Cricetulus griseus: one gene and its partner. The protein of the gene in region 1 interacts with the protein of each later gene in a pairwise test. Links are inferred from orthologs where the notes say so. Each region holds a gene or a part of one and is shown on either strand. Other genes may lie near its edges. The genes, in order: creatine kinase M-type and Asb9.

Evidence for each region.
Region 2: the proteins of creatine kinase M-type (region 1) and Asb9 interact in binary tests that used the Homo sapiens proteins (3 or more experiments, as listed by UniProt). The two-hybrid records come from large-scale screens. The link is inferred for Cricetulus griseus from reciprocal best matches to the Homo sapiens genes CKM and ASB9.

The regions. Positions count from the first base shown.
Region 1 is NC_048602.1:27,928,645-27,943,513, reverse strand, and holds the end of creatine kinase M-type, read left to right. Parts: intron 1-32; coding exon 33-187; intron 188-548; coding exon 549-681; intron 682-2,872; coding exon 2,873-3,044; intron 3,045-4,321; coding exon 4,322-4,445; intron 4,446-6,251; coding exon 6,252-6,441; intron 6,442-7,835; coding exon 7,836-8,014; downstream 8,015-14,869. Other genes in the region: Mark4 (MAP/microtubule affinity-regulating kinase 4), read right to left, coding at 12,372-12,708, 14,225-14,269. UniProt on the Homo sapiens protein: Reversibly catalyzes the transfer of phosphate between ATP and various phosphogens (e.g. creatine phosphate).
Region 2 is NC_048604.1:99,617,966-99,633,171, forward strand, and holds the end of Asb9 (ankyrin repeat and SOCS box protein 9), read left to right. Parts: intron 1-2,190; coding exon 2,191-2,298; intron 2,299-4,565; coding exon 4,566-4,716; intron 4,717-7,350; coding exon 7,351-7,485; intron 7,486-9,229; coding exon 9,230-9,421; intron 9,422-13,180; coding exon 13,181-13,305; downstream 13,306-15,206. UniProt on the Homo sapiens protein: Substrate-recognition component of a cullin-5-RING E3 ubiquitin-protein ligase complex (ECS complex, also named CRL5 complex), which mediates the ubiquitination and subsequent proteasomal degradation of target proteins.

The DNA of each region.
Region 1 (14,869 bases):
CTCCCGGTGCTGACGTCAGCCCCACCCCGCAGGTCACCCCTTCATCATGACGGTGGGCTGTGTGGCCGGTGATGAGGAGTCCTACACAGTCTTCAAGGACCTGTTTGACCCCATCATCCAGGACCGCCACGGCGGCTACAAACCCACAGACAAGCATAAGACCGACCTCAACCACGAGAACCTCAAGGTCAGTGGCCCCAAGAAGCGGGGTAGGCACAGAGATGGGGAGACAAATAGAGATGGGGGGACAGACTGAGAAGCAGACTCCCAGGAAAATGTCCCGAGGGCAGGTGGGGGTGGTGGCCAGTGAGGCTGGGTGGGGCACAGGAGGAGTTCAGTGTCAACTGGGGACCTGGAAGGATCTAGGGGAGCTCTAAGGAGCCCTGGGGAGACCCCAGAAGACATGGGGGACAGCCAGGAGGACTGGGGATACTCTGGAAGGTTTGCAGCAAGGCTCATGGAGGATCTGGAGTGAGAGCCCCACGAGGTTCTTGGGGAGACCAGGGCTGGCCAGGTCTGCCTTCCCTGACACCCCAGCGTTCCCCCAGGGCGGAGACGACCTGGACCCCAACTATGTGCTGAGCAGCCGCGTGCGCACTGGCCGCAGCATCAAGGGCTACACGCTGCCCCCGCACTGCTCCCGCGGAGAGCGCCGCGCTGTGGAGAAGCTGTCTGTGGAAGGTGAGGTCCCCAACAGCTGCACCCGGGTCCCCTTCGGGCTGCATTACCTGTGCTCCAGGTTTGGGGGCACTGAGGCAGGCAGCCTGGGAGGTCCTGCACTCAGCCACCCAGGGTCTTCAAACTCGTTGCTCGCACGCTACCCATTGACTCATTCGGCGATCCATTCATTCATTCAGCAAACATTGTTGGAGCTGAGATTTCTCAGAATGGGTGAGGCAACAAGGTTACGAATCTGAAAAGTGGGGTTGAGAACCAACAGAGTTGCTCCTGCTAGGTGGCCTAAGCCTGGCACCCTTACGCTTGTAATCCCAGTACTTTGAAGACTGAGGCAGGAGGATCACCGTGAACTGAAGACCAGCCTGGATTCATAGTGAAACTCTGCCTCAAAACCAAGAAACCAGGCCAGGAGGTGATGGCACACTCCTTTGATCCCAGCACTGGGATGGCAGAGGCAGGAGGATCTTTGTGAGTTCAAGGCCAGCCTGGTCTACAGAGTGAGTTCCAGGACAGTCAGGGGTACACAGAGAAACCCTGTCTTGAAACCCCTCCTTAAAAAAAACCAAAACAAAATGAAGAAATCAAAGCAAACAATAACAAATTTTGCAACTGCATGCTCCCCGCTCCCCTGGTTTTTCAAGACAGGGTTTCTCTGTGTGGCTTTTGGAGCCTATCCTGGAACTCGCTCTTGTAGATCAGGCTGGTCTCGAACTCAGAGATCCGCCTGCCTCTGCCTCTCGAGTGCTGGGATTAAAGGCATGTGCCATGGCCACCTGGCACAAATTTCTCTTTTGTTTCATTGAGACAGAGACTCCCTGAGTCTCCCTCCAACTAGTAATCCTCCTGCCTCAGCCTCCCAAATGCTGGGATTAAAAGTGTGTGCCCTTAGCCGGCACAAAGTGTAAATTCTATAATGGCCTCTCTTAAAAAATATTTTTTGAGGTAGGGTCTCTCTACATAGACCTGACTGTCCTGAAACTCACTATGTAGGTCAGGCTGGCCTCAAAGTTACAGTGATCCACCTGCCTCTGCTTCCCAGTCCTGTAGTGGCCATTCTGAGAGTGGCCCTCTGTGATTAAGTCACACACGGTGGGTTTGAGGTCAGTGTAGGCTACACGATGAGATCCAGTCTCAGAAACAAAAACAATGAGAGCTGTGTTCAGGAATCACACTCTCCTGCAGGTGGACTGGGTGGGAGGTTCTGCTCTATGTCCTGGGGACAGGGACATACAGGTGACAGGGACATACAGGGGACAGGGATATACAGGGGACAGGGACATACAGGGGACAGGGACATACAGGGGACAGGGACACACAGAGGACAGGGATATACAGGGGACAGGGACATACAGGGGACAGGGACATACAGGGGACAGGGACATACAGGGGACAGGGACATACAGGGGACAGGGACATACAGGGGACAGGGACATACAGGGGACAGGGACACACAGGGGACAGGGACATACAGGGGACAGGGACACACAGGGGACAGGGACATACAGGGGACAGGGACATACAGGGACAGGGACATACAGGGGACAGGGACATACAGGGGACAGGGACATACAGGGGACAGGGACACACAGAGGACAGGGACACACAGGGGACAGGGACATACAGGGGACAGGGACATACAGGGACAGGGACATACAGGGACAGGGACATACAGGGGACAGGGACATACAGGGGACAGGGACACACAGGGGACAGGGACACACAGGGGACAGGGACACACAGGGGACAGGGACACACAGGGGACAGGGACACACAGGGGACAGGGACATACAGGGACAGGGACATACAGGGGACAGGGACATACAGGGGACAGGGACATACAGGGGACAGGGACACACAGGGGACAGGGACACACAGGGGACAGGGACACACAGGGGACAGGGACATACAGGGGACAGGGACATACAGGGGACAGGGACATACAGGGGACAGGGACATACAGGGGACAGGGACATACAGGGGACAGGGACATACAGGGGGCATGGACATGGGGGGGAGCGTCCATGAATTCTTGGAAGAGGACATGTATTTGGGTTTAGACGTGGAGTGTAGTGGTTTGGAGACCTCTTTGATGCCCAGGCCCAGGGTGTCGGGGGCAGCAATGTGGGGTTCTCCAGGCTTGGTACCCCCAGCTGAAGTCAGGCAGGATACTGATTGCTCCCCTGTGGCCCCTCAGCTCTCAACAGCCTGACAGGCGAATTCAAGGGCAAGTACTACCCTCTGAAGAGCATGACAGAACAGGAACAGCAGCAGCTCATTGACGACCACTTCCTGTTTGACAAGCCCGTGTCCCCTCTGCTGCTGGCCTCAGGCATGGCCCGGGACTGGCCCGACGCCCGTGGCATCTGGTGAGTCCTTCCCTGGCTCCTCCAACCCTTCTCCATGGCGAGAGTCCATGACCTTGCCTTCCAGCCCTGCACAGCCCTGGTCAGGTGTCATAGTTTAGAAAACCTGGGTCAGAGAGGCACTGTGAGGAATTGACACTAGCCAGGCCTAGCTGCAAAGGCCTCTTGTTCCTGCTACTGGGGAGGCCTTGGAGGAAAGTTTCAAGCTTAGAGCCAGCCAGACTACAGTGAGTTTGAAGCCAGACTGGGTCTCAAGTAAAAACTGAAAAGAAGCCAGTGGTGGTGCACGCCTTTAATCCCAGCACTCCGGAGGCAGAGGCAGGTGACTCTCTGCAAGTTCAAGGCCAGCCTGGTCTACAGAGCTAGTTCTAGGACAGCCAGAGCTACACAAAGGCACCCTGTCTCAAAAAAACCAAACCAAACCAAATCAAAAACCTGAAAAGAGTTGGAGTGGTGTACAGCTCAGTGGCAGAGCCCCTGTCTAGACTCACCCAGTGAGGGGCTGGGGGTGTGGCTCAGTGGTAGAGCCCCTGCCTAGAATCCCCCAGTGAGGGGCTGGGGGTGTGGCTCAGTGGTAGAGCCCCTGCCTAGAATCCCCCCAGTGAGGGGCTGGGGGCGTGGCTCAGTGGTGGAGCATCTGACTGGCATAGGGCCCAGATTTAATCCTCAGTATGGTAAAGAAAACAAAATAAAATGTTTATATTTGAACCACTCCCTCAGTTCGAATCTCAGCTCTGTTACTAGGTGTGTACGACCCTACATACCTGTAGCAACAGCTACTCCAGCAGCCTTAAGCAGGAAGATCACTAGATGACAGGGATCATTTTGGTCAGTAAAGGCCATTTTTACCAAAATCCATTGTACAACAAAATACATGTATGAAAAGACGAAAATAATAATAATAATTTAAAAGTTGAAGACGGCTGCAATCTCCGAATCCTGGAATTCGAAACTTGAGATCAGAAGGGATAAACATTGTGGATGTGACCTTGGGGTCGCAGGAGGGACATTGCCACTGTATCCCACGCTGGCCTCAAACTCACTCTGTTGCCCAGCTTGGCCTCACGCTCCAGATAGTCCTGCCTCAGCCTTCTGGGTGCCAAGACAGCAGGCTGGTGCCCGGAAGTCAGGGAGTCAAGCTAAGGCGGGAGTGACTGGGAATCCAGTGCACCTCTTTCCCTTCCCCGGTGCCCAGAGGAAGGGACTGCGTTGGAGTGCGGTTGCTTTCCTGGGCCTTGGGCGTCCTGCTGACGTTTAGGCCTCCGGTTGCCCCTTGTTAGGCACAACGACAACAAAAGCTTCCTGGTGTGGGTGAACGAGGAGGACCACCTCCGCGTGATCTCCATGGAGAAGGGGGGCAACATGAAGGAGGTTTTCCGCCGCTTCTGCGTGGGCCTGCAGAAGGTGGGTGTCCGCCCTCCGCGCTCACTGGGGCTGCATCCTGACCGCTCTGTAAAGCTACATCCTTCCTAGACCCAGCCCGCCCTTCCAATCCACCACGCCAGTGCCTAAGACTCCTTTCCTTCCTCCCACCAAACCCCCCACTGCTTTTCCCACCCACTTTCCAATCTCTGCCTCTTACATTCATACATACACACACATATGCATACACACATGCATAGACACGCATGCACACCATGTATATACACACACGCGCACACACGCATGCACACACATATACACATAGGCATACACACACTCATGCACGTACACACACGCATAGACACATACATACATACACACATGCACACACACAGTCATATACACACGCATAGACACATACATACATACACACATGCACACAGTCATACACACACACATAGACACATACATACATACACACATGCACACGCACAGTCATATACACACGCATAGACACATACATACATACACACATGCACACACACATACATACACAGAGTCCTACACACAGGCACACACACGCATGCACACACATACACACATAGGCATACACACACTCATGTACGTAACATACGCATAGACATATACATACATACACACATGCACACAGTCATACACACACACATAGACACATACATACACACATGCACACAGAGTCATACACACACGCATGCACACACATACACACAAGCGCACACGTAGGCATACACACACTCATGCACGTACACATAGACACATACATAATACACACATGCACACACAGTCATATACATACGCATAGACACATACATACATACACACATGCACACACAGAGTCATACACACACGCGCACACACACGCATGCACACACATACACACAAGCGCACACATAGAATACACACACTCATGCACGTACACACACGCATAGACACATACATACACACATGCACACAGTCATATACACACACATAGACACATACATACATACACACATGCACACACAGAGTCATACACACACGCACGCGCACACACACGCATGCACACACATACACACAAACGCACACATAGGCATACACACACTCATGCACGTATACACACATGCATAGACACATACTTACACACATGCACACACACAGTCATATACACACGCATAGACACATAATACATACACATGCACACAGTCATACACACACACACACAGACACATACATACACACATGCACACAGTCATACACACACACACACAGACACATACATACACACATGCACACAGTCATATACACACACATATATAGACACATACATACACACACACATGCATACAGTCATACACGCATGCTCGCACACACACACACATGCATACAAACAGCCATACACACGCATGCTCTCACGCGCGCGCACACACACACACACGCATACTCACAGACAAAGCAAGCTCTGCTCTTTCTGATTCCACCCTACCCATTTCCCCCCGAGAAGGTCCGAACCCTTCGCCACACTCAGACACCCCTACTCCAAGCTACCTACATTCCAATCCCAGCCCATGCCTGAGCCCCGCCTTTCAGTACCACCTCACGCGTTTCCGAAGCCCCGCCCCTCCCCCATCTAAGCCCCACCCCCCCCCAGGGTCTGAAGCCCGCCCCCACCTCTGCGGGAGTCCTCTCTCCAGAGCTCCTCCGGCCGGTGCTCCACTCCCCCCTGCTGGAAACCCCACCCGCACCTATACCCTGACACCTGGCCCCTCAGACACCTCCTGGCAGGCTGCATTGGGACCCCAACCCCTGGTGCCCTCCCTCTGCCCTCCCCAGATTGAGGAGATCTTCAAGAAGGCTGGGCACCCCTTCATGTGGAACGAGCACCTGGGCTACGTGCTCACCTGCCCCTCCAACCTGGGCACCGGGCTGCGCGGAGGCGTGCACGTGAAGCTGGCCAACCTGAGCAAACACGCCAAGTTCGAGGAGATTCTCACCCGCCTGCGCTTGCAGAAGCGTGGCACAGGTGCGGCCCGCCCGCGATGTCTGCGGAGGGGGAGGAGGGGGAGGGGAGGGAGAGGAGGGGGAAGGGGGGAGGAGGGGAAGGAGGGGAGAGGAGGGGAGGGGGAGGAGGGATGGAGAGGAGGGGCAGGGGGAGGAGGGAGGAGGGGAGGAGGAGGGGGGAGGGGGAGGAGGGGGAGGAGGGGGAGGAGGGGGAGGCGGCATCCCGGCCAGTTCCCGGCTCAAAGCTATTTGATGTGCATTTTATATCCGTTCCTGACTCTCCCCTGGGGCCTCCGATTCTGTCTGTAAATAGAGGGAGGTCAATTGGACCACAGGCAGCCACTTTTAACTAGCATTCTCTCTCTCCTCTCTGTCTGTCTCTCTGTCTCTCTGTCTCTGTTTATCTCTGTCTGTCTCTCTGTCTCTGTCTGTCTGTCTCTCTGTCTCTGTCTGTCTCTCTGTCTCTCTCTCTCTGTCTGTCTCTCTGTCGTCTCTGTCTGTCTCTGTCTGTCTGTCTCTCTGTCTCTCTCTGTCTGTCTCTCTGTCTCTGTCTGTCTCTCTGTCGTCTCTGTCTGTCTGTCTGTCTCTCTGTCTCTGTCTCTCTCTTTCTCACACACACACACTCATGCATACGGAGACACAGTCTCACCTTGGAGCTATGGTTGGTCTGAAACTTGCTTTTACGTCCAGTCTGGCCTCGAAATCTCAAAGTTACAGAACCCGCTCTATAGTAGACCAGGCTGGTCTGGAACTCACAGAGCTCCTCCTGCTTCTGCCTCCCGAGTGCTGGGATCACAGGCGTGCCCGGCATTTTTTTTTTTTTTTTTTTTAAGATTTATTATATATACAGTATTCTGTCTGCATGTAAGCCTGCAGGCCAGCAGAGGGCACCAGATCTCATAACGGATGGCTGTGAGCCACCATGTGGGTGCTGGGAACTGAACTCAGGACCTCTGGAAGAGCCGTCGGTGCTGTTAACCTCTGGGCCATCTCTCCAGCCCGTGCCCGGCGTATTTTAAAAATGAAATGCATTTATCCGAGAGAGAGAGAGAGAGAGAGAGAGAGAGAGAGAGAGAGGAGAGAGAGAGAGAGAGAGAGAGAGAGAGAGAGAGAGAGCATTCCCATGGTGCGGAGGAGGTCAGAGGACAAGCCTGCTCTCCCCTTCCACCACGTGGGTCCTGGGAACTGAACTCGGGTCGTCGGGGGTCTGCGGTCGTGGCTCCGGCTGTCACTCTGGATGCTTGAGCGCGCGCGGACCGCTCCGGGAAACCCGGGCTGGGGAGCCGGGGGGCGGGGGGGTGCAGGGCGGCGGGCTCCCGTCCCGCGGCTCCCGCAGGTGGGCACGGGCGTCGCTGCGCCTCTGCGCGCCGCTCACGCCTCGGTGGCCCCGGGGGACCCGTGCTCCGTCCCGCGCAGGTGGCGTGGACACCGCGGCCGTGGGCGCCGTGTTCGACATCTCCAACGCCGATCGGCTGGGCTCCTCCGAGGTGGAGCAGGTGCAGCTGGTGGTGGACGGCGTGAAGCTCATGGTGGAGATGGAGAAGAAGCTGGAGAAGGGCCAGCCCATCGACGACATGATCCCCGCGCAGAAGTAGGCGCCGCCGCCGCTGCGCTCCCCGCCTCTGGCTTCTGGCCAATGAGAAACCGCCTCTCCGGAGCCCCGCCCACCAGCCTGAGCACCGCCTGGGCGAGCGCAGCGGGAGACCCCGCTGCTCCCCGAGCCCCCCCAGTCTCAAATAAAATCCCGTGGTGGCCTTAGCTTGGAGTGCGACAGCTACTGAGGGGACAGGGAGCGGGGAGCGGGGACCTCGGCATCCAGCCACCATGGCTTGCATCTCACGCGGCTCACTGGCTTCCTGTCTTCGGGCCTCTCTAGCTGCCAGTTTGTTTTTTTTTTTTTGTTTTTTTGTTTGTTTTTGGAGACAGGGTTTCTCTGTGGCTTTGGAGCCTGTCCTGGAACTCGCTCTGTAGACCAGGCTGGCCTCGAACTCACAGAGATCCGCCTGACTCTGCCTCCCGAGTGCTGGGATTAAAGGCGTGCGCCACCAACGGCCCGGCCAGCTGCCAGGTTTTTGTTGTTGCCCTTTTGAGAATGCCTCTCATGCACCCAGGCTGGCCTCGGATTCCCTGTGTAGCTGAGGATGGCCTTGGATTTTTTTCTTTTTTTAAAGATTTTATTTATTTCTTATGTATGCAACATTCTGCTTCCATGTCTAACTGCACACCAGAAGAGGGCACCAGATCTCATAACGGATGGCTGTGAGCCACCATGTGGTTACTGGGAATTGAACTCAGGACCTCTGGAAGAGCAGTCGGTGCTCTTCACCTCTGAGCCATCTCTGCAGCCACGGCCTTGGATTTCAAATCCTCCTGATTCTACTGGGGTTAGAGGAGTGCACCACCACCATGCTTGGCTCGCGCGCGCGCGCGCGCGCGCGCGCGCGCGTGTGTGTGTGTGTGTGTGTGTGTGTGTGTGTGTGTTATATGCACTTACTACATAGCCCAGGCTGGCCTCAAACTTGCATTATTTACCCCCTGCCTCAGCCTCCTGAATCCTGGGATGGCAGGCAGACCCCACCATGCTCAGCAGAGATGGCAGGCAGTAGAGGCAGCTCACAAGGTGAAGAGTGCTAGGGGCACTAGCCAGATGGTGGGAGATTGATCCCAGAGCCCGTGTCAAGAAGGAAAGAACCAACTCCCCACACTGAGTTGTCTAGACAAAGGTGTTCCTTCCATATACACAAATGTAGTGGAAAAACCAGCAAACATACCTCAGTTCCCGTCTGTGGCTGCTGCTCCTTCAAGGTCAGGGTCTCATGTAGCCCAAGTTGGCTTCTAACTCACTATAGATCCGAGAATAACCTTGACATTTTTGTTGATTTTTTTTTTTTTTTGAGACAGGGTTTCCCTGTGTGGCATGGGAACCTATCCTGGCACTCACTCTTGTAGACCAGGCTGGCCTCAAACTCACAGAGATCCGCCTGCCTCTGCCTCCAGAGTGCTGGGATTAAAGGCGTGCGCCACCAACGCCCGGCAAGCCATCTTTTTTTTTTTTTTTTTTTTTAGATTTTTATTATGTATACAACATTCTGCTTCCATGTCTATCTGCACACCAGAAGAGGGCACCAGATCTCATAACGGATGGTTGGGAGCCACCATGTGGTTGCTGGGAATTGAACTCAGGACCTCTGGAAGAGTAGTCGGTGCTCTTAACCTCTGAGCCATCTCTCCAGCCCCCCAGCCATCTTTCTTTAAGACCTGGTCTTGCTATTTGTCACTGCCTTCCCTTGGACTTTTGGCAATCCTCCTGCCTCAGCCTCCTGAGTGCTGGGATTATAGGCTGCTGCTACTGTAGCCCAGCTCTAAGGGCTTTCAACCTATGTCCTTTTGTTTTGAGACAGTCTCTGTGACAACTCAGATGCGGTTACAGATGCGTGGCACACTGCCGCGTAGCTTTTGGGTTGTCTTCAGGCAGGGCCTCAGGTTGCCCAGACTGATCTCCAATGCTATGTAGCCAAGGCTGGCTTTGAACTCTTGATCCTCTAGCCTCTGCCTCCCAAATTCTGGGATTATAGGGCACTCATGTGTAGGCCAGGCTAGCCTCAAACTGACATAGATCCAGCTGCAGCTACCTCCTTATCTGCTGGGGCTTAGGGGTGAGCTGGCATGCCTGGCACGATAATGGACTTCTGTTACTCTCAGTTCAGATACTTGCCCCCCAAATGCCTTCTGGTCCTTTCCTGGGAATAAAGATCCCAACCCTAAGGACTTCCTAGTGAAGGTCCAACCAGCACCATCCACCGGGAGGCAGAAACTCAGGCAGAGATGTAGCCAAGGTGGAAATGGCTAAGTGTGGAGAGCAAGAGTCAAAGGTCATTTGGTAGCAGGTTTGTCTGGCATGTAGGAAGCCCTGGATGGGGTCCCCAGCACAGGTATGGTGGCGTACACCTATAATCCCAGTATTCAGGGGGTGAAAAACAAATTAGAAGTTCAAGGTCAGCCAGGTGTGGTGGTGCCCACCTTTTACTCCAGTACTTGGACGGCAGAGGCAGAAAGATCTGTGTGAGTTCAAGACTAGCCTGGTCTACATAGTAAGTTCCAGGACAGCCATGACTATGTAGAAAGACCTTGTCTCAAAAACAAAATAACAAGCCAGTCGTTGGTGGCGCACGCCTGTAATTCCAGCACTCGGGTCTACAGAGTGAGTGCCAGGATAGGCTCCAAAATTAAAGGCGTACACTACTACCACTCACGGCCATTATTGAAGACAAAGAATTACTGAGTTTAGTCTGTCTGTCCCGTGTCTGCTTTGCCTCCTGACCCACCCACCACCCAGCTTCCATGTGGACAGTCTCACCAGGGCTCCCTGCTGGAAAAGAATAAATACCCCAGCCAGGCCTCTTCTGGGATGCAGGTCCCACGAAGGCAGGGCTGTGGCTGTTCCCCATACAATACACTATTGGCAAGTGAAAGGCTAGCCTGGGCTACACAATGAGATGAGCCTGATGCTTTCAAGTGTCAAAAGACAAATACTACTTTGGTTAGGTTGGGGACAACTGGCAAGACTTAATTTAGGGCTCCAGGGCAAAGCCATTGGCACTGGCAGGTTTCTGTGAAAACATTTTTTGTGGGGTTGTTTCATGTATCCCAGCATGGCCCATATCTTGCCTCCAACACACACATGCTGGGATCACAGGCCAGACACACAGACATCTTTTTCCAGACAGGGTTTTCCTGTGGAACCCTGTCTGTCCTGGAACTTGATCTGTAGACCAGGCTGGCCTCTGCCTCCTGAGTGCTGGGGTTAAGACCATGCACCACCACTACCAATACAAGTGATTTTTTGCAGAATAAGAATGGAATTTGGGGCCCACTAGGCAAGCACTGTACCAACTGAGCCACAGCTACAAGCCACAGAATTTCTTCCCAAGGCCTCCTTTTCCTGTGGCCTGTACAGGGCTCTCGTTACCTCCAGCCCCTCCCCCACAGACGGGCTCTGTACTCGTGTCCAGAACTGGGCCAGCGTGGAGTGGGCACCAGTCATTGAGTGTTTATTGAATACATGTGTTACTGAAGGAAGAAGGTTTCAGTCCAGTGTAATTCGGCAGAGGGGAGAGAGTGGCCAAGAGGAGGGTTTGACAGAACACCCGGGCCTCACAGAGGAGGCTGAACTCTGTTCTGCCCTCTTCCATAGCCATCCTTGACCCTCCAACCCCACTTTCCCATTCTGCAGATGGGATAACCAAGGCTCAGCAAGCAGAACCACAGGTTGGGGTCAAGTCCCCAGCTCCCTGGCTCACCTGCAGGCCAAGGGCCGGGAAGGAAAACCCCAGATCGGCCAGGGAGGGGTTTGGGGGCCAGAGGGACTCTCCTACTATTTATTGGGTAACAGGCTGCAGATGAGGAGCTGACAGAAGGGGGGTGGGCAATAACTTAAAAACCAGAGGTGACAGCGGCAGCTCCCCAAGAGACCTCTGCAGAGGGACAGGAGTATATACAGGGGTTTGTACAAAGTGCCCTGCGCCAGCCTGGGGCAGGAAGGGAGTTCGAGCATAAAGGGGAGGGAGGGGAAGGTTTCTGCCTGTGACCCCCCACTCCCTGCACCCCAAGTTCTGTCTCCCTGAATGGGAGAATTTCTTCACTTTCCCTTCTCACTCCTGTCTCCAAAGTCTCCTCAGTCTCCCTGCAGTAGAGCAAGGTGCGGGGTGTGGCACTAGAGGCCCAGGAGGGTGCCACCAGCTCCCACTGCGGAACCTTATTTTATCTCCGTGATAGCCAAGAGGACTGCCTGCCTCCGTCCACCTATCTAACATGGGGAAACTGAGGTCAAGATACGGGGCACCCCCTCCTCTGTCCTCCTCCCCTCTTGGGTAAGTGGAAGGGACCAGAGAAAGAGGAAGGGACCCAGGCTGTGATGGTGGCTGTGGCGGTGGCGGTGGTGGTGTTGGTGGCTCAGAGTTCGAGGTCGTTGGAGATGCGGGTGACGAGGGTGCGGAAGGCCAGGGCGGTGCCTGCCACTCGGCGGAAGAGGACGCCCCTGAGGCCGGGCCGGGGCAGCTGGCACACCTCTACTTCGAAATGGGACAGGGGCTCGGGCCCGCCCGCACCCCCGTGCAGGCAGGCCAGCAGGAACGGCTGCGGCTGACGGCACCGGCAGCGGGCAGCTGCGGTGGCTTGTCGCAGGGCAGCCATCAGGGCCTCGGGAGGACGAGAGCTGGTCAGCTTCACACTCCAGGGGAATCGGAGCAGCCGGGGGGCGGTTTCCGCTTTATCCCAAGGTAGATGGCAACTGAGGAGGGTACAGGAGGGATCAGACAGGGCAGGGGGGTGGCGTACTTTTCCACTCCCATCGGCACAGGGACAAAGAAGTGCCACTCAAGCTTGTATTTCCCAGCTAGACACCCACCCCCACCTGTGGGCCAAAACGGTGAAATTCACCCTGTAGACCCGGCTAGCCTGAAACTCACAGAGATCTGCCTGCTTCTGCCTCCCAAATTCTGGGATTAAAGGAATGTACCACCATGCCTGTCTATGTGTATATATGTATACATAATATTATTATTGTTGTTGTTGTTGTTATTTGTGACAGGATCTCACTGTGTAGCACACGCTCAGACTCCTGAGTCATGGAATGGCATCCTTGGTGGCTCACAGGTAACTTCTAGCAAAGTAGGGTCCTCTCATTACTCTGGTTTGGGATAGTCAATGTTCTGGCCAATAAGTGCATGCCACGTATGAGCATATGACCAAAGCTGACCAATTAACGCTCTGAACTCTTTGGGCCACAGACTTTGGTTTGGAGACAGACATGTCAGCTATACCCAGCCAATGAGACATGGTGGAGGATTCTGAACTGGTGGTGTGTCAAACTAAGCAGGGTGGTGCAAACTGTAACACTGCCTGCTTTTGTAAGTACAGTTTTATTGAAATACACCTCTACAAATTAACTTTTTTCTCATTGTAGGGGCTGGAGTCTGGGTAAGCACTCAACACTGAGCCATACCTGAAGCCCCTCACTGGGGGATTCTAGGCAGGGGCTCCACCACTGAGCCACACCCCCAGCCCCTCACTGGGGGATTCTAGGCAGGGGCTCTACCACTGAGCCACACCCCCAGCCCCTCACTGGGGGATTCTAGGCAGGGGCTCTACCACTGAGCCACACCCCCAGCCCCTCACTGGGGGATTCTAGGCAGGGGCTCTGCCACAGAGTCATACCCCAGCCCCTCACTGGGGGATTCTAGGCAGGGGCTTTACCAATAAGTTACATCTCAGCCACCAACCCTCAAATTTGAGACAGGATCTTACTAATTTGCCCAAGGCTGGCCTTGAGCTCTTGTAGCCTTGGCAGACTTTGAATTGCATTCCTCCTGTCTCAGCCTCCAAGGTGCTGGGACTGGCAGATCTGCATGACTACAGCCAGCATGGATATAGTGTTTTATTATAACACCGTGATATCTGTTTTCACAGAAGCTATGGCTTCTTTTGTCCTAGAATGGCAGAACCCAGCAGGAATAACTGAGATAGGCTTTCAAAAGTATTTGCAGGCGGAGTCTGCATGGACACTTAGCTATCGTGTGGCTGGGTTTGCCTATACCCTGCAGGCAATGCATAAAAGACGCGGGTAACACAGAAGAGGTGCAAATATTAGAGGGACCTTGGGCTGCAGGTGGGACAGGGCTCAAAACCCTGACAGCCCCGGGGAGGTACAGACACAGCGCAAGTGGAGGGAGGGGGGTCCCAGGATGTTCCAGCAAGTTGGCTTTTAGAAAATGAGATGTGTGCAGGCAGGTGGGGACCACACTCACCTTGTGACCTCAGGTCCCCCGATTCTCTCAGGTTCGTCTGCGACCCTAGCGGAAAGGGGAAGGGGCGGCATGTCAATCTAGACATAAGAAGCCCCCTCCCCCTCCCCCTCCCCCGCCACCAGACTCCAGGCAGCCCCTGCCGTGGCTCAGCTCTCCCGCCTGCTGGCTGCTGGGAGGGCTGTAGTGTGGATTTGATCCCTTCCATCCAGAGTGGGGTCCACACGTAAATGGTTAGTGCAGGTTGGAGAAGAAATACTGAAGGTTTTGGAAGATGAGAAAAGGGCAGGCAGACAAACCTACATAGAGATGGGACCAGACACTCTCACACCATCACAGGAGCACACAAGGACACGCAGGTATTCAAATGACAGGCACTTTCCGCAGAGAGCGCTGAGCCACGCCCCCAGCCCCTCACTGGGGGATTCTAGGCAGGGGCTCCACCACTGAGCCACGCCCCCAGCCCCTCACTGGGGGATTCTAGGCAGGGGCTCTACCACTGAGCCACGCCCCAAGCTCTCACTGGGGGATTCTAGGCAGGGGCTCTACCACTGAGCCACGCCCCAAACTCTCACTGGGGAACTTCAGGCTAGTGATTTCAGCTATATTCTTTTTGGAATTTTCAGACATGTTTGTTCTTCTAGATCC
Region 2 (15,206 bases), on another chromosome or scaffold:
ATTGGGGCTGCTCATTTACAAGTATATTATGGCAAATCTCCCAGAACACTTTCCCAGGCTGTGGATCTGAGCCCCTGTGCACTGGGGTGTAAGCACAGAATGACTTGATATCTCAAAATGTGTGACCCTGCTGATCAGAAGGTAAAAGCCAAAAGCCCAGGATGATTAATGGCTGGCCCACTCATAAATGCCCATAGAAGTAGAAAACTACGTGTCGGGACTAATGGAAAGTAAGACCATTTATTGAAACAATTTTGGGCAATTTTATACTATTCCAGGAAGAAACATTATAATACATATTTGAGTCATTGATTAAATTAGCCATGAATAAGGACTAGGGAGACATCTCACTGGATAAGAGCATTTGCTATGCAAATATGAGGAACTGAGTTCAGATCTCTAGAACCCATGAGAAAAGCTTGGTTGGTCACATGGACCTGCAACCTCAGCACTGTAGGGGGTAGGGAGGGAAGAGACAGAAGGATTACTGGGACTTTTGGACTCCAGGTTCAGTGAAAGACCCTGTCGCTAGGGGATAATCAGGGTTGTGATAAAGTAGGAAACATGCACCAGAACACGTGTGTGTGTGTGTGTGTGTGTGTGTGTGTGTGTGTGTGTGTGTGTGTGTGTCTACATCATATTTGCACACCTACACATGTAACCACACATGTACACACACACACACACACACAATTCCAAAAAACCCAGCATATATGGATTAAAAAGTACTTTTATTGTATCCGTGTCTCCCAGGACAATGTGCTCTAAGATGGGGGTGGAGCTGAGGCTGTAGAGCTGCTCCTAGATTTCTTCACATGTTTTTCTGGAATTGGGCTCATGGTCTACTATCTCTTGGACTATACATTTCCCCAGAGGGTGATGGATCCTGAGGCTAAACTTTCAGATTTCTTTGCATTTCCAGACTTCAGGGGCCTGGTGTGGGAGTGAAATTGTCCCTTTGACTTGGGACCTTTTATCTACGGAGTTTTACCTATTGCTTTGGTTATGTATCCTTTGGCCCACATCACTTGCTGTGTAAAAAAATGCTCCAAAGTTAGCAACATGAAGCAACACACATGTGGCTTTTTTACAGACTTTGTCAGGGTTTACACAATATTTTGCTGGTGTCAGTACTCTGCAGTCATCCTAAGGCTTGAGTAACTGAAGATCTGTATCCAAGCTCAAGAACCAACTAAGTTGTTGGACTGAGGGTCTCACTTCCTGACTGGTTGCTGGGTGGGGGCCACCCTTGTTTTCTTATCAAGGACTTCACTAGGATAGGTCAAGAAGTGATGCCAACACTAAAGTGAGTGAGCCAAATAAAAGTTGTTTAATCTTGGAAACAACCTTTTATCATCTTTGTATATTTTCTTAATTAGAAGCAAAGCTTGGTCTGAATGTAGCTCTGAGGTAGAGTAGTGGCTTAGCATATGCAAAAAGATGAGGAGGAGGAAGAGAGAAGGAGAAGGGGAAGAGAGAGAGAGAGTGGAAGGGAGGAGGAAGAGTATGGAAGAACAGTTGAGGGGGGAGAGAGGTAGGACAGGAGGAGGAAGAGAGAGGAAGAACAATGGAAGAGCCCAGGAGGAAGAGAGAAGAAAGAGGGAAGGATGGAGGAGGAGGAGGAAAAGGAAGAAAGAAGAGGAGGAAGCAGCAGCATCAGCAGATACCTCATTAAAGGGGAGTCAAGTCCACAGGCCATTACTACCAGGAGACAAGACTCACTGGAGGGCTTCCAAGTCACACCCACATGAGCCAGGCAAGCAGAGGCTCATGGATGCTTCCCCTCACTACCCTGTCTCAGTAAGTTCTTGGTGAAGCCAGTGTTAAATCAAGCAGAGCGGCAAGTATTTTATCAATTGAACTACCTCCCTAGATGCCTAGGCAATCTGTCTCTTGAGTGCATATAATGAAGAGTGAAATTATTGAGTTGCTGGCTTCAGTAGATCCTGGAAAAGTCATTTCTTTTGTGGTTATCTTATATTAGGCTCTCAATTGTACCCTGTGATGGGCTGTTTTTCTTGTCTTTTTGTTTTTATGCTACAGTGAATGTCTACTAAAGTAGACATTTTTTTTTTTTACCTGACCATATGATTTAACTTTTCAGAGAATACACACAGTTCTTGAACTATATAGCTGAAAACCAGCCTGATTGTCTTCTCCCCCATTTTGAGCCATTTTCTCTTCTTGTAGGGATGGCCTGTAAACATCATCACGGCCGATCATGTGTCTCCACTCCATGAAGCGTGTCTGAGAGGACATTTTTCTTGTGCAAGTGTTTTACTGAGTCATGGAGCTCAGGTAAGTGAAGCTTAAATAATAGAAACAAACAGTATCAAAAAAATCAAAACTGGCTATTTGTTTCCCTCTGAATAATTTCCAGTACCTTTGATTAGTCTGATTTGAAATGTACTTTTCAAGAGTATTATGCCTAAGTGCATGTGCTTTGCCAAGAGGTGAAATACTTCCTTTTTTACCTAGAAAGTTATATTAGTTACTTTCCTGTTGCTGTGATAAAACACCATGACCAGAAGTAACTCAGGGATGGAAGAATTTATTTGGGCTCGTGGTTCCAGAGGAATAAGTGTCCATGATGCAGAGGCATGACTGCAAGCAGCAGGCACCACAGCAGAAGTGGGAAGCTCAGAGCTCATATCTTCAAAACCAAACAGGAAGCAGAAAAAGGAAGTGGTTCAAATGGTTCAAGGACAGACTTCCTCCAGCAAGGCCACAGCATCACCTCAAATGGTCTCACCAACTAGGGACTAAGTGTTCAAATACCAGAGCCTATGGAGGGCTTGTCTTCTCTTTTTTCTGAGACAGGGACTCTGTGTAGCCTTGGCTGTCCTGGATTTCACTTTGTACACCAGGCTGGCCTCCAACTTAGAGATTCCCCTGCCTCTGCCTCCCAAGTGCTGGGATTAAAGGTGTGCATCACCACCTTCTGGCCTATGGGGGTATTTCTAATTCAAACCACCACAAAAATCATGTTTAGAGTCTGAAGCATTTTCCTTATCAGACAGCATTAATAAGTAGTGTTTCATAATTGTAAGCTCTCTACCTACATGTCTCTGGGTAACAGGGAATGAAATGCTGCAGAAAAGGTGAGAGATTCAACTAGGGATGGTCAGCATGTCAGAATAAGAACATCTCTGAAATCTCTCATTCTGTATTTGTTCAAAGGAGAGCAGGGATTGCAAGGGCAGCAAAAGAAGGCAGGCTCTTCTCTTGTTTCACATTTGTTATTGTCATATTGGCAGAGTAAGCCACAGAAGCAATCCCAGATTCAGGTATTGGAAAAATAGCCTCCATCTTGTGATGGGAATGGCTGACGTGCCATATTGTAACGGAATTCGCACTGTGGGATAGAAAGAGCCTCTGGCCAGTTTGCAAACTAACAAGGCGTCATAGGATTAACAGGGATTATTGGGAGCACATAGAAGTGTTCATCTATTTCCAGTGGGTCAATCAAAAGGGACTTTCTTCAGGAAATGATGTCTAATCTAAAAGAGAAGGAACCAGTCAGCCAAATGGTGAAATAAAGGAAGGTAAAGACTTCTAATGCGAGAGACACAACTGACCCAAAAGCCTGGAAGTAAAATTGGCCAAATTTTGCCAACCGTGTTTATGGCAGGAGAATAGTTGGGTGAGAAGGTTTCTTTTGAGTTATGATGAAAACAGGGCCAAGGCTAAGGGGAGGCAAAATAGGCAACTGGGATGGAAACGTTAAAGAAACAGTCACTCTGTGGTCCTGTGGCACTATGGGAACTCCAGAGTGAGCATCTCCTGTATGTTTTTTAGGTCTGGGCCTTCCTTGGGAAGAGGGTGTGGTAGTGAATTCGGTTTTTTCCCCACAATATCTTCATTTAACAGATACATCAGAGTATATGACAAGATAGAAAAGTCCGTGTATGTCTGGGCTTGCTATCTAGTGTTTGTAGCCCAAGCATAATGATATGGATCTTAGTTTGTAAACTTCTGTGACAGTTCTAACATAAGAAAAAAATCTCCAGAATCTATAATTTTACAGTCTTGTTAACCAGTTGTATATCTGTTTGCCAGCATATTTAAGTAGCATATTGACAGACTGTATAAATACTTCTTTGATCCGACCCTACCATCTTACCACTCCTCTGGTTAGTGAATGAATTGAATAAATTCTTTGGTGTGTGAATCATATTTGCATGAGAATCAAACCTTTAAGTAAAAAAAAAATAGTCTTTTTAAAAAATCAATTTTAGCTTACTCTGGCTACTGTCTAGGATGGATGTTTAAAATGGAAACGTTAATTTGTAAGCTATGCTACGGAAATTATCGTAACTAGTTTTAAAGTTCATGATCCCAAGGAAGGCAGGGAGGAGATGGAATCTTCAATAACGTTATGACTGCCTTGTATTTTATACTTCATTTGCTTTTTTAATGACAGTTTGGTGGTCCTCATTTTATATAAGAAGATGGACCTTAAGGCTCAAGAGAAGTTAAAAAACCCTTTGAAAGTGAGAGGGTTAACCTTGAGTTCAATCCACATCAGTCACTGTCTTCATCCTGGAGTTGGGTTTTCTTCACAGGTGAATGGCATAGCCATAGACTGGAGAACACCCTTGTATAATGCCTGCCTCGGTGGCAACCACGATTGCGTGACTCTCCTTCTGGATCATGGAGCAGCTCCCCATCCTGAGAGTGATCTGGCCTCTCCCATCCACGAGGCTGCAAAGAGAGGTAAATCCATCTGGAATGTGAGGGTTTTTACCCAGTCCTTCGAGGACACTCTTACTACTGAAATGGGAAAGAAGAGGGACATTTTAGTGCAATAGTTTTCAAAGGGCGCCTGGTAGTAGGAGCGTCCATATGACCAGGCTTGTGAAGAAAGACTCGGAGGCTCTGCTCTAGCCCTGTTTAATCCAAATATCTCCAGGGTGTTCTGATCCACAGTTAAGTTTGAGAAGCACCCTTTCAGAGATATATTTTCATAACAAGGGATGGTACGTACTAGACTACACTATGGATCTTTGTGGAATACTTGATCCCATAGAAATCAAGGGTTTTTGTTAGTCCATAATTAATTGTATGAAGCAAAAGGATTCATACTAACATTTTCATTCAAGGCTATCATGTATCTCAATCATATTCAACCCTCAGTCATATTCAATCATATTCATTTCTCTCTCTTGCCTGTCTTTCTCTTCCCAAGTAGACCCCCTTCTACTTTTATGGTGTGTGTGTGTGTGTGTGTGTGTGTGTGTGTGTGTGTGTGTGTGTGTATGTGTGTTTGAACACACATATATAATCTAGGTTCCACATATGAGTGATTGTATATTTTGTATTTGTCTTTCTGGGTTTGCCTTATTTTGCTTAGTATGGTGATCTCCAATTACACTCATTTTCATGTGAACAATATAATCCCATTCTTTATGTCACAACAAAACTCTGTGTTATACATTTACCATAATTTTTTATCCATTCAGCTACTAATGGAGAACTGGGCTAATTCCATATCATTGACTATTGTGGTACATTGGCTCAGGTTCCTTTAGTATATACCCAGTAGTGTTGGTACAGCCAAGTTGTCTGGTAATTTCACTGCAGTTTATCTGGGAGACCTCCATAATGATTTCCATTGTGGGTATCCTAGTTTACATCCCCACCTACAGTGGATAAGGGTCCCTTACCAGCATTTGTTGTGTGCTTTACAAAACAATCATTTTCTATTTTAGGGTATCAACAGTGGCTTGGGGTCATCTAATTTTGAAAAGTGAAACATATTTTCAGCTTGAGGAAATCTATAAGACTTTTTATCAGTTCAGGGATGATCTTAGTTTTTTTTCCTGTTGCCATGCTAAAATACTCTGACCTCTGATGGAAGCAACTTAAGGGAGAAAGGACTGATTTTAGCTTACAGTTCTAAGTACAGCCTATCACGGTGGGGAATTCAAGGCAGTGGGAGCATGAAGCAGCTGGTCATGTGGCATCTCCAACCAGGAAGTGGAGAATGATGGATACACACATGATGCTTAGCTTGATTTCTCCTGCCCAGGCAATGGTCCCACCTACAGTTAAGATGAGTCTCAAATACTAATTAACAGTAATCAAGCTAATCCTTCAGAGAAATTCTCAGAGGCCAACCTTAATCTAGATAATTCCTCACAAGTGTGCCTGGATGCTTGCCTTCTAGCTGATTCTAGATTCTGTCAAGTTAACAGTTGTCACAAGAGGGTAAATCTTTCTATAAAGTACAGTTTGAATTTTTGCTTTTCTCTGGTGTTTAGCATCACCTGCATGTCTATACTTTGCTGGAGGGCTTTCTGTTTCCCCAGGGCCTTTCTAGAATGGCTTTGCATTCAACCAGACCAACCAATGTTGTAATTAACTGGGAAATCATTGTGGTTTCTTTATGAAGAGCCATATTAACTCAACATGTTTACTGGATACATACAATTAAAATGGTTCAACATGAGACCCCAAAGGGTGGTGTTTAAAATATGGCATTCTGGGCCAAGGCAGAGTGAATCTACTTTGAACAAACTTCGTTTGCCAGACTGGGCCTTGCTCCCATGGGATTTGGCAGTGTTTAAGATTTGCTTGTGCTTATTGTGGCCTATTCCTCCAGCCTTTGCAGGCTGTAAGCTTCCTGCCCTGTCCTGTGATACATTCCATGTCTTTCTTCAGGACCATTTTTAGTCCTGTTGCTCCATGGCTCTTACAAGCACACAAACAATTGATAAAGGTGAGTGGATGCTGGTTGGTTTCTATGGCTAGTGAATGCAGGTGCTGTTCCATCTGCAGCTGTGGATGTTGATGGTTGGATCCTGTTCTTTGGCTGACCCTCCTTTCGTTTTGATGAACCAAGGCAAAAGCCTGATTCTCCTCTTCATGGAATGGCTGGGTGAGCTGACCTAATGGACTTTTGAACAGACATTTACTCTGATGCCAGTGTTTAAAATTATTTTCCATTTTAAGTAAAAGAATATGGCTTTTATCTCCTGAGCAAATTGAGAACATGGGAAGAGGGGGGAGGAAGCTATGAGAGTGAGAAGGGAAGAAAAGGAAGGATGCAGAGGTCATGAGGAAGCAGAAATTTTGAATCAGGTGTAGATTAGAAGAAAGGACATATGATAGGTAGGATTTTAGTTGGGGGGGTGGTAGAGGAGGAAGGGAGGGAGAAGGGAACTGGGTTCATCATGTAATTCAATCTTGTTTGTAATTCACATATATAAAAAAATAAAAAACAAAAACAAACAAAGAATATGGCTTTTGATTGCTGGATGTGTTGGGGATTCATTTAAACACACAAAAATAGGGACTTTTGTTTAGGGAATTTGTGCAGTAACCCTTTTCTTCTTTTTTGGACTGTAGGTCATGTGAAATGCATCGAGTCCCTTGCAGATTATGGTGCCAATATTGACTATAACATCAGCCACCTGGGTACTCCTCTATATATCGCTTGCAAAAACCAGCAGCTAGCCTGCGCCAAGAAGCTTCTGGAGTTAGGTAAGGCAAAACAGCAAAACAAAATAAGGCATGAAAATGAAAAGCAAATTAAGTGAATCTTGAAGATCCTGGTGTCATACTAAAGGGAAGAGTGTGAGCAAGGGGCTTGAGACATACATTGTCCTCATGAGGAGTTGTTTTACACCATTCACACTTGTGTTTTCTCACTTCTAACTAGCATGACAATGAAGAAGAAGGTGATGATGTATACCACCCATGCCTTCTTCCAGGGTGGTCCTCATTTATCACTAGTTGATCTATCCTTTACTCTGCCTCTCTCTAGCTGGGCAATCGTGATTCAGCTCTACAAAGCTTGCAAAGCCAATGGGTTTTAGCTGACTCTTCCGATTTGGGACTATCTTCCGTGTTTCTTTCTGATTAGGAAATTAGTCCGCCATAAACATTATCCTTTCCATGAAGAGATGTTCTATCATTCCATATCTCCCTACAGCTGTCCCTTCTTCTCAACACTGGGAACACTGTTCCAACTCTTTAATTTTCTGAATTCTGTTCTTCCTTTAAGACTCCAGAGTCATTCCCCCCACACTGACTGTTCTTGTGTTCCCTATTTCTTTTCTTATTCACCATTTTCTCTGCCACTCTCACTCCTTCCTATTACTACTTTTAGGTAGATTTTAAGCTTTGAGATATTTAAATCTGTTATCCAGGACAGGGCCGTCTTTGGCATCTCTCACAAAGTAAAAAAAAATTATTTAAAAACAATTCAATGAATGTTTGTTGCTTGGGCATCGGTTTTTGTGGAGGGACATCCGCTCAGGTGAAAGTCTGAGCCTGAATATACCTCAGTGAGAAGCAGACTCTGAGCTGGGATGGGGTTTTATTTAGAGGGTAACTAGAGTTTGGTGGGGATAGCCCCAGAAATCCACCTTCCTCCTAAAGAGAACTTGCAACCCTTCCTGTGATAACAGGATCCATTTTTCCAACTTAGGAAAAATGCCCCCTTAATTGGTTGTGTTTAATGATCCAGCTCACACAGTCGCAAGTCCCGTGGCTTTAAATGCAGTGCTGGCTGCTCAGTGTATGAATCTGGCTTCATGATGTACACAGTGTAAGTCTTTACTAGTACTTACACTGCATTAATAATGAATATGCAACTTTCATGCTACTCAGATATTTCTTGATTGTATTATGCCCATGAAGAGTACTCTGTGTCGAGTTGGTACCTCCATATGTTACACAGCTCACATTGTACTTTCAGTCACATTGTCAAATACTATTTTCCTTTTATTATATTTGTGTAAGAGTGTGCATGTTTATGTGGGGAGGGTTGTGTGTGTGTGTGTGTGTGTGTGTGTGTGTGTGTGTGTGTGTGTGTGTGTGTGTGTGTGTGTGTGTGTTTATGCTCACCTGGAGGCCAGAGGTCAACCTTAACCATCCAGCTTAATGTTCAGAGCTCATGCTCTCACTAGGACCTGGAACTCAATGATTAAGCTCAGCTGGCTTCAAGGGTCTTCCAGTCCCCACTCCTCAGCATGCTAGGACCACAAGCATGTGCTTCCACACTCACAGTTTTCTCTGGGTGGTGGGGATTCAACACAGATTCTCATACTTGGATGGCAAGCACTTTGCCAACAGAGCTGTATATCCAGTGCCCAGTTTCCCTGTTACTATAGTAAATGATATAAAGTCAGACCAGTTCACAATCTCACAGAATCATGTTCATCATGGATTCCCCATTTTAAACACTTTTGACACTCCATGTTTTGTTCTTGTGACCATTTAGGAGCATCTGTGAATAAAGGCAAAGGCTTGGAATCCCCTCTTCATGTAGTGGCCAGGATGTCTTTTGGGGAGCTGGTATACCTACTGATGGACTTCGGAGCAAATGTTCAAGCTAGGAACGCTGAAGGAAAACGTCCTGTGGACTTGGTGCCTCGGGAGAGTCCTGTGACTGAGATCTTCTTGGAGAGAGAAGGTGCCTCTCCTTTGCCCAAATCTCAGCTCTAACTCCTAAGACTTCTTTGATCTTTAGTAGGAGGCAGGCATTTCCTAAGTTCTGACTTCCAGTCCTGGAAAAGATTGCTCTCTGCCATCACCATGCATGGGGAACCTGAGATAATTCCATAGGGCACAACACTGTTTATGAAGTAAATAGCCTGTTGTTGTTGAATATGTTGGAATCAGGCTGTTAGGCCAGTTTTTAAGGAGGTCAGGCTATTGTTAAAAAGTATTTGATATTTAAGTTAACCGAAGCATGCTTTAGAGTAGTGGTTCTCAACCTTCCTAAAGCTTTGACCCTTTAAAATAGTTCCTCATGTTGTTGTGACCCCCAACCATGAAATTATGTTGCCACTACTTCGTAACTGTAATTTTGCTACTGTTATGAATTGTAATGTAAATATCTGTGTTTTCTGATGAACTTAAGTGACCTCTTGAAAGGGTCATTCTACCCCTACAGAGTTCGTGACCCACAGAGTGAGAACCACTCCTTTACAGTAATTCAGCAGAAGCCTTCTAGGCATTGTCTGATTCCCCAAGATGTCTAACTGCTCCATACATCAGCCAAACCTAGGAGTAATTGATTGCTGGGATTAAGATGAAGCTAACTGAGAGTTTAGGGTATTTGTTTAATGATTCACACCAATCAAGATACATTTACTCTTGCAAATTATGTACACTCCTCCATAAATAAGACCTCACACTGCTCTTCCAAATAACTACACAGTGGTATGCACAGGAGAAGGGGCATTTCTTAGAGCAAAGAGTCCTTTTAGGTTGTGAGGATACCTGATTGCATTGTCAGTTGTTCCTGAAGGCAATTCAGTACCTGCATTCTTACCAGAGTGTTGATTGTGCTGTTTTTGGACTATGGGACTCTGAAGCAGGTCTCCATACCTGAAGGACTCTGATGTCAATAAACTGGTTATTTTCTACCCACATGCTGAGAAGTAGGCCTGAAGTTGGGCAGAATGATAAAGTGGGCCAAAGACTTCCTCCTACTCCCACTGCCCCAGGGCAATTGCCCATCTTGCAGTTGCCTGCACTCTTTAGCATTGCAGCACAGGCTAAGGAAGACTGATGTAGGCGGAAGGAATCAACTAGAGGCCTCTTTCTGTTAAACAGTTGGATAATCATTGGGCATTTCTGCCTGCATTTTGAAGATTTCTTGTTTTAAAAAAGTCCTATGTATACACACAGGGTCACTTTCTCTTATAGTCTCTCAGAGCCCACAGAAATATTTTAATTAATTCTTATTAAAACAAGAAGGAAGATGAATAAATCCTAACCAGAATTATATTCATCTTTATACTTACATAGCTATAAAATGTTTTAATATTTTTTATTGGAAATGTGTTACCCAGAGGCAGCTGTGCCTCAGGGTCCTTTGAAGTCACACAGTGGGATGAGTCATAAGATTTTCAGATTGTTTTCACTGATATTTTCCTTTTTAAATTTTTTGAGACAGGGTCTATCTGTGTAGCCCTGGCTGTCTTTGAACTTGCTATGTAGATCAGGCTAGACTTGAACTCGCAGAGATATCCTTGCCTCTGCCTTACTGTTGGGATTGAAGGTGTGCACCATCATGCCCAGCTTGGTGTTTTCTTTCTACTCTATTCCCCAGAGCTATTCATAGAGACCTACGTTATCCTTAATTTCCTCATTTCACACTTGGAATGATGACAGTAGGCCTATGATCCTACTGGTTTAGGGGTACAGCATGGCAGTGAAGCACACCCTTGCTACAATGAAAGGTGCTACATTCCATCCTAAGGACCCCAAACCAACAAAATATAATTTGCCACAGAAGAAAATCACCTCCATTTTGCCTTCATGAGTCACTTTTAGGATTCTGATGAGGCCACTTCTTAGCAGGACAGTAGGCCACCAGAAACAGTTCCATGCAAGCACAAAGTTAGAGCTGCAGATATAACACACCAGTTTCTTTTTCTGACGCTGGGTCTCCTTGCTGATTCAGCTTACCTGACTCTCTGTGCTCAGGGAGGCAACTTAATTAAATCACTGTCCTTCCAGGGTGTGGGGACTGGGGAATATAAGCTGAACTTAACTGTGCTCTGAGTTGGCTTGGCATGGAAGTTAGGGAAGGTGGGGATCTCACTTTTCTTGGAAGCCAAGGGAAAGGATTTCAGGAGTCACACCCTCCAGCACTGGCACATACATGTTGCTCCCTAAGTATACACTGTGAAGTGTGCTGGTCTATGCCTTGAACATAGTCTGAAAGGTGCCCCGACTTCGAGCTGTACCTTCTAGAAAGTGCTGTCAGGGCTCTAGCTGGAGCTTACATTTTTTTGACTGTTTGTTTTCACTTCTTGTGTTCCATCACTTGAGAGACCCATAACTAAGTTCATCTGGAGCTTGCAGTGAGGCTACAGGACAGTAGGGGCTGTAGTATCATTTCAATTGTAGTTTCAAGACTGATTTCACAATAAAATGACCTGGAGCCCATGGCTTTAACAAAATCTAGATGCACAGGCACAAACTAATGATAACTGAAGCAGTGTCTCTGGGCCGGGACACAGTTTAAACTTCCCCAACTCCAGCCAAATCTAAATTGCATACTAGATTGAAGGCTACTGTTTCATGCAATTATTAAGGGTATATAGTTTTCTTTAAAAAATAGCAAAAATAATTTCCATTTTAATTTGGTACAAAGAGTGGGGGTGGGGATGGGTGATTATACTTCCCTTTTATTCTATAATAGGGGTTCTAAACCTTGGTACCATTGACAGTTGGAGTCATTGACAGTGCTGTGCTCCTGACTCCAGGAAGAAAATACCTCACTTTTCTTTTCCCCTACCCAGCCTGTTGAGAACCACCATCCTAAAATTTAAACTCTTGGGTTCTCTGTGCGAGTTTATGTTAGTTGAGTTTTCACCCATGAGATGAAGCTTTTGGATAACTTAGAATGCAGAACAGAAAAGGAAACACAACTAAATAACATGAACTTATGATTCATTTGGAACTTAGTATATTTGAATATCTTTAAGTTGTTAAAATTATAACATAGATGTACTTGCATCTAGAAATATGATTTAATTTTTAAGGTAAAAGACAGCACCCTGAAGCATGAATTCTATTTTTTATGATTCAAATTTTTGTGTAGCTATTTAATTTCCAAGTTAGTTTCCTTTTGCCTCTCTTAATGAGGGTAACTTTTACATTTCTTTTACTCTGTCATAAATTAAAATCCAGTGAGGGACAGAGATGGCTGAGCAGTTAAGAGTGCTTCCTGCTATTGCAAAGGATTGGGGTTCTGCTCCCAGCACCTGCATCTGGCAGCTTACAACCTCCTGTAATTCCAGCTGCAGATGATCCTGTGTCCTCTTATGGCTTCCATAGATACCCTCATGCTTGTACCCACACTCCATGTATATACATATATATAGATAAACATAAAAGTAAAGCTTAAAACATAGATTTTACTTCAGTTAAATACAGGAAAACAGAACTTGGTCTCAGAATGCCCCTTTATAGATGCACATAACAATTTCAAAGAGAACAAGGAGAGGTATACAGGAATGTTTGGTGGGAGGAAGGGGAAGGGGGAATTAATGTAACTATATTATAATCAGAAAAAAAAACAAAAAAACAAGGGAACATAGTCTTAAGCATGCAGTATTTCTGTATAAGGATATTATTATACATTGCATGATTTTAAAAGGCAGTCCTAGGTCAGCGAAGTCAATGTGTGACTTGTCCCATGCTCTTTCTCCAGGTCCTGAGTCTTTGATGCAGTTATGCCGCCTGAGAATCAGGAAATGCTTCGGCATTCGGCAGCATCATAAGATTGCTGCACTCTTCCTCCCGGAAGACCTGAAGCGCTTTCTTTTACACCTTTAGTTGTGTAAGGAGTGGATTCACAAACAACCGAAAAAGGTTGTTGAAACTTTGACCACTGGAGTTTCAAATAAACTTGTTGATAATGTTTGAATGTTTGACTAATGTTTTCTTTTACATTTTTTCCTGTTAGATCATTATTTTTAAAAATGGGAACCCACTGGGTCTTTTGTGTTACTGGTTAGAGAGTGTGAAGACTGTCCTCTGCTTAAAAATTAGCTATTGGTTTTGAACATGTCCTACTTGGCAAGAATGAAGCAAGGAACACGTTATGCATCATTTAATCGAGCCTTCATACAAACTGCCCGGGTGGGTACTATTTACTGTATTACCTTTGCTAGGTAATACACTGAAGCTCAGACTGATCAATATATCCAATTACCCAGATCAAGGACAGAGGAGCCAGATATAAACGTAAATTGGCTGCTGTTAACCTGGACAATTTTAGCTAAGCAGAATTTTATGTTCTGGCTCCATCTCCATGGTATGGAAAGGGAGACAAGAACAATGTTTCTTTGTTTGTATCTATGTATTAACCTTTTCTCACTTTATGACACAGATGTAACTGTATTAGCTATAGAAGCAAGTTTTACTCCATCCCAAATCCCATATGCACATTCAAAACATTCTAGAACCCTGCTGTGGAATATAGTAGCTACTGTTTAGGGCTTTCAGTCGTGGGTGATTTTTCAGCCCCCTGCCCCCCAACTTGGGATATTAACAATGGCTGCATGCATTTTTAGTTGTCTTTACTAAGGAGATTTGTACTACTGGGTAATCTCAGTTCATAATTTGACAGACAGCTGGACAGAGGCCAGGGTTCCCCTAACCATCACTTGCTCACAGAATAGCCCCTCACCCACAATAAAGCATTATTCAGGTCAACATGCAAATGGTGTCTAAGTTGAGAAACCCTGAAGTGCACAAAGATGGTGAATTTAAAAAAACAGAATTAATTAAATCAATGTAAAGTGAAAACTTCATCTCAGTGTCATCAGCCACATATCAAATGTGTTTATTATAACCTACTCAGGCAAAGTGGCCACTGTGCCGTATTACACAGACACACAGGAACTTATATTGGACAGTGTTCCTCAGATGGTAAGTTAACTGATTTTAACTGCTTTTCAGTTTCAGATTTACAGGAAACCTGTGATGCAGTTTAGTATGGATGGTTTTAGTTATCTCACTGAGAGATGCATTTGGGGGTTCCATTACATCATTATAAAGAAAATATTGTAACCGTTTTAAGGAAAACCGTTATGTATGAGATGACATATGTTACATATGGCCTAGAGGATTCTCCTAAAATACACCCAACATAATTTGTCTGTGATTATTAATTTAATTTGCTGTATGAAAAAGTCTAGGCTATGGTTTGAAAATTCCTAACTAATTCTTCCAGAAGATGGCGCTGTTGCCACATAATTATTCAAGCAAAAGACTCACTACTAAAAAAAATGACCAGTCACAAAATGGTTTACCACGGAGGCTCTGGAAATTTCCATTTGGGAATGAAAACTTTGTGGTGATAGATTCTACTGACAATGGTTTCTTTGCCTTGTGCTATAGCCCATAGCTCTAGGTTGAATAAAACGTCTCCCTTCCCTGTTTGTTGGCTTCATAACCTGACCATCTCCACTTTCACTACTTAGAATTTATAGCTAGCTAATGAACATAAGTATCCCTGCATCTTGCTAATTCATTCAGTTCCATTCACTCACTGATTTTGTTTATTTGGGGATTACTTAGTGAGTGGCTGTGTCTCTTTGCAGGCACCATTCTAGACACTAAGGAGGCAAAGTTAATGAGAGGCATATTCTAACAACAGATACTGTTTCCTAGCTCTCACATTCTAGTCAAAGAGTCTTTTGCCAAGGGGCAGGAGCTGTGAGCATTTTGCC